Linked DNA regions of Schizosaccharomyces pombe. The gene in region 2 interacts genetically with the main gene of each other region. Each region holds a gene or a part of one and is shown on either strand. Other genes may lie near its edges.

Region 1 (3,756 bases), on a different chromosome or scaffold from region 2:
TCCTAATAAGCGCTGCTTGAATAAAGTGATAAGTGCAACAGCTCCGATGATGGCAAGATATTTAGCGATTAGAGATTGTTTCGTTTCCAAAGTACCAAGTACTTATAACGAAATATATACAAAAGCTCCCAAATTCAAAATTGCTGGGTGTACGGCGCCACCAAAATACAGAACCGTCATTCATTTGTTCCAATATAACGCCATTGTTCTCTGTATTGTTTGCTAATTGTTTCAACTTGTTGAACTATTAGTGATGGTCTAGTCCAAACGACACCTGGAATGAGAGCGCATTGATGAAAGAGCTTCAACACAGCGCCCAATCTCTCTTACTGTGGGAATCTCAAACATTGTCAATGTTGTCACATGTTGTTTGTTCGTATACAAAGAAATGCAAATGCCATCCACGCATTCTGTTCATCATTAAAACTCTTTGATTAAATCCCTTGTACTGCATTAAATTTCATGGCTGCATAGAAGAAAAGTTACATAGGAAAGAGCCAGCGATTGCTACGAATACTCGCTCGATCTCACTCCACAGGCTGTTTCTTTAACAATTTATATAAGAATATACAAATAAGTAAAGTTTCATAGAAAAGAAGAAATGGATTTTATAGTGAAAATGGGGAATTTTAAAGTCCCTCATTGCTTCATCTAGCAACTCTTTCTTATATACAATAACCGAAATACGATGCATCGGTAATTAACTGTTTACGCACACACAATCTCTCAATCTTCTCTCCTCTAAAATAAATGTCTCCAACCAATTTGTTGATAAAGATAGAATGGCTGTTGTAATGTAGCAAACACTTATCAGGGGATGGATGGATGGATGGATGTTTTTCATCAAGCACTTGTTTACATGAGTGGGCGTTAGCTGAACACCGAGAGTCATGTTCATTCAATTGTGCTAGTGTTTTATAATTTATTTGTTTTCGTTTCAGTTTACTGTTTGTGTAGAATGAATACTAGTCATGAAAGGAAAGAATAAACCTTTCTGAAAATGAAATGACATTGAGTGCATATTGTTGAATATGGATATGCTGTTGCTTCCATACATTTGGAAATTTTGCAAACCTCTTTTTTTATGTATGTCCCGATCAATGTGTGTATCCGTGGATTACCAAGTTATCAGTGAATCGGCTTCCGTTCCTCCATATCTTTGAATTGCTCTTTTTTCTGCCCTAAGCAGCGCAATGCGCATGAAGCGTTATCATTCAATGTACCGAACAGAGTGGCAGTTGAGTGGCCCTTACCAATCCGGCCTTTCAAAGTTTATCTAAGAACCACTTGTTTGAGCTTATCGACCAATCACAGGCAATGGATCACCGTTCCTCCACTAACCACCTCGTATCGCTAGATTAGAGGGGTGACGTCAAGTGAACATATCGTGACTCGTTAAGTCAGCCAAGTAACGAATTGCGAAAGGGAGGGCGCGCTTGAGAAAGTGCTAATACAGCGATGCATGCAGAACAGTGGCATTTGACGAATAATCAAGGGAGAAAGCAGAGAAGTAAATGAACAGAATTTTTTTAAAAAAAATTATATTACAATTGAATTGAATGGATTTGGAATTGAGTTTTGCCTGCTTTTTTACGGAATCTCTGCTTCTATCTGTCCAAACTCCCTTTGTTGATGTTCGAGGGTTAGGGTACGGGTGGTGGATAGACTATATAAACGAAAGAGGTAGCCCCCATTGAGTCGTGTATCAGTACGCTCCTCGTTACAAAGTCAAACGTCTTAGAACAAGTTGCATTGGAATTGAATTTACCAGTGCCACTAGTTTTGATTTTGTTTCATTCACAGTCGTTTTTTTTCGCTTTGTGTTTTTCATTTGCTTGCAATTTTTTATTTTATTAAAGTAATTGTTAGAGAATTATTATAGTTTCTTTCTCCCTTTCTTTATAATAACTCTTAATCCCATTGTTCGCCCATATACTACTTACTATAGTTTGTATATAGCCCACAATTCTTTTTTTTTTTCTTTTATTCATCTCTCTCGATTTCTTCCTATCTGAACTTGGGATAGATAGTTAGTTTTTCAATAGTCTTTGTCATCTGTTTTCCTTGTCTTTCTTTCATAAGTAAACACGGAACAACGATACTTGCCTACTGTTCAGCAATCTCAGCAATTTAACCGCCTTCAATCACTACCCCAACCACAATCACAATCACTTCCCCCTCCAACAGCCTCGTCTTCTCAGCATCAACATGAGAATTCCTTATTCAAATCTTTTTTCTGCCGCCGCAGGTTTGGCCCTCTTCGCTTCTACTGCCTGTGCTGCACCAGTGATGCCAGCGACTGATTCGGACATTGCCCATGCTGGTATCCGTCCTGAGCTCGATAACGCTTTCTACGACTCCCACGGCGAAGCCGCTACCCCTAAGCACAAACCTCATGCTGGTCCTAATGCCGCTCCTCTCTTGTCTGCTTCCAACGCCGATACCACTGGACTGGACTCTCACTATATCATTGTTTTGCAGCCTGATTTGAGCGAACAAGAATTCCAAGCCCATACTAATTGGGTCTCGGAGATGCACCAAATGGACATTGCTTCTCAAGAAGATGAGTACTACGATACTAGTGATAGTAATTACATGTTTGGCTTGAAGCATGTTTATGACTTTGGCGAGGACTCTTTCAAAGGTTATTCTGGTCAATTCAGCTCTAACATTGTTGAGCAAATTCGCTTGCATCCTCATGTCATCGCCGTCGAGCGTGATCAAGTTGTCAGCATTAAGAAACTTGAAACTCAAAGTGGCGCTCCTTGGGGACTTGCTCGCATCTCTCACAAATCCGTCAAATACGATGATATTGGCAAATATGTTTACGATTCCAGCGCTGGTGACAACATCACCGCTTATGTTGTAGATACCGGTGTAAGCATTCATCATGTTGAGTTCGAAGGTCGCGCTTCTTGGGGTGCAACCATTCCCTCTGGTGATGTTGATGAGGATAACAATGGTCATGGTACGCATGTTGCTGGTACCATTGCTAGCCGTGCTTATGGTGTTGCAAAGAAGGCTGAAATCGTTGCTGTCAAGGTTCTCCGTTCCAGTGGATCTGGTACCATGGCTGATGTGATTGCCGGTGTTGAGTGGACTGTTCGTCATCACAAATCGTCCGGCAAGAAAACCTCTGTTGGCAACATGTCTCTTGGTGGCGGCAACAGCTTTGTTTTGGATATGGCTGTTGATTCTGCCGTTACCAACGGTGTTATTTATGCCGTTGCTGCTGGAAATGAGTATGATGACGCTTGCTATTCATCTCCTGCTGCTTCTAAGAAAGCCATCACCGTTGGCGCTTCCACTATAAACGACCAAATGGCCTACTTCTCTAACTATGGTAGCTGTGTTGACATCTTCGCTCCTGGACTTAACATTTTGTCTACATGGATCGGTTCAAATACTAGTACTAACACCATCTCTGGTACTTCTATGGCAACCCCTCATGTTGCAGGTTTGTCCGCTTACTACCTTGGCCTACACCCTGCTGCCAGCGCTAGCGAAGTTAAAGATGCTATCATTAAGATGGGTATTCACGATGTACTCTTGTCTATTCCTGTTGGTAGCAGCACTATTAACCTTCTCGCTTTCAATGGTGCTCAAGAATAGATTTTACTTCATGTTGGATGCATTCGATGTTTTCAATAAGTCGGTGTTTGATTTTCAATACATCGAGTAATTGTTTTATTTTTTTGAAAACGTTTGCTCCTTTTATGATTGTTCTTTACAAACAGTTTATAATGATTGTTATGA
Region 2 (3,746 bases):
CGGGCTAGCCGTTCTAGGTGTACTTCCAGTACTACTACCACCGGCACGCAACTGTGAAGCATGTTTTGGAGGAGGAGGCAATTTTGTAACATCGACATATTTTATTGATAAACGAGGCCCGGTTCCATGAACGGATCTAATATCATACATAGCATCTTCGCCATGTTCACCTATAAATCCCATTTTGTTAGTAATGTCTCAAAAAGCAAAGGAAATATGCTTACCTGGTAATTTCGATGTAATCTTATTCTGGAAGCGGTTCGCAGAATCCGACATCGAATGCAGTGATTTTTTTGTTGAGTCAAACATTACGATTAGTTTGAAATTGATTTCTCACAATTGACGCAAAAACCGATTTTACCCAAATGTTTGCGGTGGACAGCTTCCGACTCTCGAAATTCCTTAAGTCCGCTTTTCTAAGAGCCCATAGGGTAAACAACTACACAACGTGCTAGTAATATCAGCCAGCTGATAGGAAAAAATAATGTCTTTGAGTTCTTTTTGATAAAACATAACAAAATAGTAAGCAGCTAATAAGCTTCGCGTTTGTTGTCAATACTTACTATCAGAATTGCAGCATTGCTATTACGCTTGCTAAATTGGATAATATACGTAGAGTTCTATATTCATTCAATTGAAAACTTGTTAAAATCGCATTCTTTATGCGTATATTAGTTATACAACTATGGCTGTCAGAAAATGCAAACAAACTACCACAAGAAGTGATCCTTCCAATGATAAACGTTTATGTTAACAGAATGTAAAATCATTGCTTTTCAAGTAAATCTTATAAACACTAGATGTTGATGACTTTCATAAATAGAAAGTAGGGATTACAATTCATCTGTTCCGTCATCTTCAACATTTTCTTGAGACAACTGCCCAGATTTGATAATTTTTACATCTTCAAGAGGCTTATCACGGTTGTCAGTCTCAGCTTTGGAAATTTTCTTGACAATATCGTAACCAGAAAGGACTGATAAAATTAGTATTAGCAAACAAAAAAAAGGAAAAAGAAAACAAATAGTCACTTTTATAAAACATATACAACTACAATATGAATTCTTACCTTCACCAAAAACAACATGGTGTCCATCTAACCAAGGTGTTTTAACTGTAGTAATGAAAAACTGAGATCCATTGGAATCGGGTCCAGCGTTAGCCATGCTAAGCAAACCGGGACGTTGGTGAGAAAGCTTAAAGTTTTCATCAGGAAAACGGCTGCCATAAATTGATTTTCCACCAGTACCATCACCCTTCGTAATATCACCACCTTGAATCATGAAATTGGGAATAACGCGATGGAAAATAGATCCTTCATATCCAAATCCCTTTTCTCCGGTGGCTAATGCGCGGAAATTTTCGGCTGTTTTGGGAACAGTTTTACCAAACAATCCAATGGTAACTCTTCCAAGGAACTCATCACCTTGTTGCAAGTCGAAATACACTGTGTCTGTAACTTTGGGGCCACGGTTGGCAGAGATAAGCCCAAAGAAAAGAGTAAAAAGTAAAGAGAAATAGAACAACTTCATTTTTGTTTTCACAAACTAAAAGCTTCGTTGTGTGGTAAAGGATAAATAAATAGTTATGGTGGGGTTTAATAGCAAGACTCGCTAGATTTTGGTTGCTGTAGCAACTTTTAGCACAATGTTAAGCAAATAATTCAAGAAGCGCTTATTTGTTTACATCAAACACTACTATTTTTCTAATGGTTTGATTATTTAATGAAAGATAGAAATAGTAATTATTTGCAAAATTCTATTTCCTAACCTTTTTTGGAAGGTATTTACGTGTTAAGCGTGCTATTATTTATTTACACAACGTCTTTATTTCCATTCTTGCTTTTCTTCCTAAAAGAGTTGTGACTTTTGTTGTACCAAGGATTGAGTATATACCAATTATGGCTATCATACTATAAAGAAGTAGTAAAAATTCCTTTTGATTGTGTACTGCTTAAGATTCGTAAAGTATTTATTTATTACGAAATAAGGTAACTTATCATAGTATCATAAGATTGCTTCATATCTCTGTATACGTTACCCAAGGGTACGCTTATTTATCCAAGACCGTATACCACATAACTCACGCACCGTTTACAAAGAACACCGAATTTTGAAGCAATTGAAGAGAGGAGTTACTACTTCAAGCAAGAAGTTTGAGAGTTCTCATGCGTTCTCAATTCAAGGACGACTTTTCTTTTGGTATGTGTCAAAAACTTATAGAAGTTGTTTTTTGGACAGCATTGTAGAATACCTGGAACTAGTAGGCTAATTAATAATCAGAGAAACGAAAAACAGAGTCTCAAAGAATCCGGGAAAAATATCCCGATCGAATACCTGTAAGTAGAGTCTGGTGGTCAAAGAGAACAGGTTTCAGAGCAAAATAGTGGTGAATTGAACAACACCCATTGTTTTTGTCATCAAAAGTGAATCCATTGTTACAAGTCTGACCTTTTTCTTTCAAAAATACAAATTACGTTTTAAACTTAACTGCTAACTTAACAGGTTATTTGCGAGAAAGTTGATAAATCTGATATTGCTGCAATAGATAAAAAGAAATATCTCGTTCCATCTGACCTTACAGTTGGTCAATTTGTATATGTTATTCGCAAACGGATAAAACTTTCTCCTGAGAAGGCCATCTTTATTTTCATTGATGAAATCTTGCCCCCGACAGCGGCCTTGATGTCAACGATATACGAAGAGCATAAAAGTGAGGACGGCTTTTTGTATATCACGTATTCAGGAGAAAATACATTTGGAACAGTGTTTCCTTTTTAGATCAACAATTTGCCTGTTTTAAGATGGCCCCGCCTTCTTTTAATTGTGATCAGCAAAATTGTTTGTGGACAATGGTTGAATGATTCTTTATGTTTTTTTTACTCTGCATTTCTAGCTTTTTAGCTTTCAAGTTTCTTTGCTTTTGCATTATGATTATTTTACGCGCGTCTTATACATATCATTCTCAGGTTAGCCACCACGATTTTAAGGATGTTTCAGATTTGTCTTACAATAGATGTGATGAACGCTTATGACTAGTTTGCTTTGACAACAAAGTTATTTTACCTTGTTAATTAATAAAAACCATCAATTAAAAAAATTGATTTTGATTTTCTAATAATATTAAAATGTTGATAAATAATAAGTAGATATATATCATCAGCTGATTCTATCCTTTTTTACATTAACTGGTTGTCATAATAGCGAATACTATTCACATGCCCCAAAAAATTGGTCAATCGTAAACTTTCATAATTCAAGCAACAAGTGTTATAACTATATTTCAAAATAAAGCCCACTCCTGCATTTCAAAAATTTCAGTAGCATTTCATCACTGAGAATGCTCCATCTTTATCGATGGGCGGCACCTGTTGATAATAAAACTAATTTCTTCTTTTTTTTGTTTTTTGAGTTTTTGGAAGGTGCAGATAATTGAGCAACTTTGTCCCAGTCAACTTTCCAACCATCAAGATCGTCTTGATCATCGGTGTCATTTTGAATATTGGCAAGAGCTCTTGTTCCCCAAACAGTCTTTGCAGTAGATAAGGTAGACTCATCTGTATTAACCTCATCGGTAGATTCAAATTGATGATGACTTCCCAATGTGGGGAATGCTTCAGCAGGGTCCTCATGCACTACGGTTTTTGGCACAGGTCTCTGCATATTTAACTCGGAGTATATCTGTTCCTCTGTATCACGTTCAGCCCGTTGTCGATACCTTTCTTCTCTCATTTCTTGAGCTTTACG

The links.
Region 1: of atg8 (region 2) and isp6, changing one suppresses a phenotype caused by changing the other (phenotypic suppression), as found in Schizosaccharomyces pombe (one study listed by BioGRID).

The regions. Positions count from the first base shown.
Region 1 is NC_003424.3:2,543,142-2,546,897, forward strand, and holds the start of isp6 (vacuolar serine protease Isp6), read left to right. Parts: upstream 1-1,700; 5' UTR 1,701-2,208; coding exon 2,209-3,612; 3' UTR 3,613-3,756.
Region 2 is NC_003423.3:3,683,687-3,687,432, reverse strand, and holds atg8 (autophagy-associated protein Atg8), read left to right. Parts: upstream 1-2,062; 5' UTR 2,063-2,167; coding exon 2,168-2,201; exon of another isoform or gene 2,202-2,282; coding exon 2,283-2,338; exon of another isoform or gene 2,339-2,504; coding exon 2,505-2,780; 3' UTR 2,781-3,152; downstream 3,153-3,746. Other genes in the region: SPOM_SPBP8B7.26 (uncharacterized protein), read right to left, coding at 1-170, 225-309; cyclophilin family peptidyl-prolyl cis-trans isomerase Cyp4, read right to left, coding at 834-976, 1,070-1,532; rnf10 (ubiquitin-protein ligase E3), read right to left, coding at 3,351-3,746. UniProt on the Schizosaccharomyces pombe protein: Ubiquitin-like modifier involved in autophagosome formation. With atg4, mediates the delivery of the autophagosomes to the vacuole via the microtubule cytoskeleton.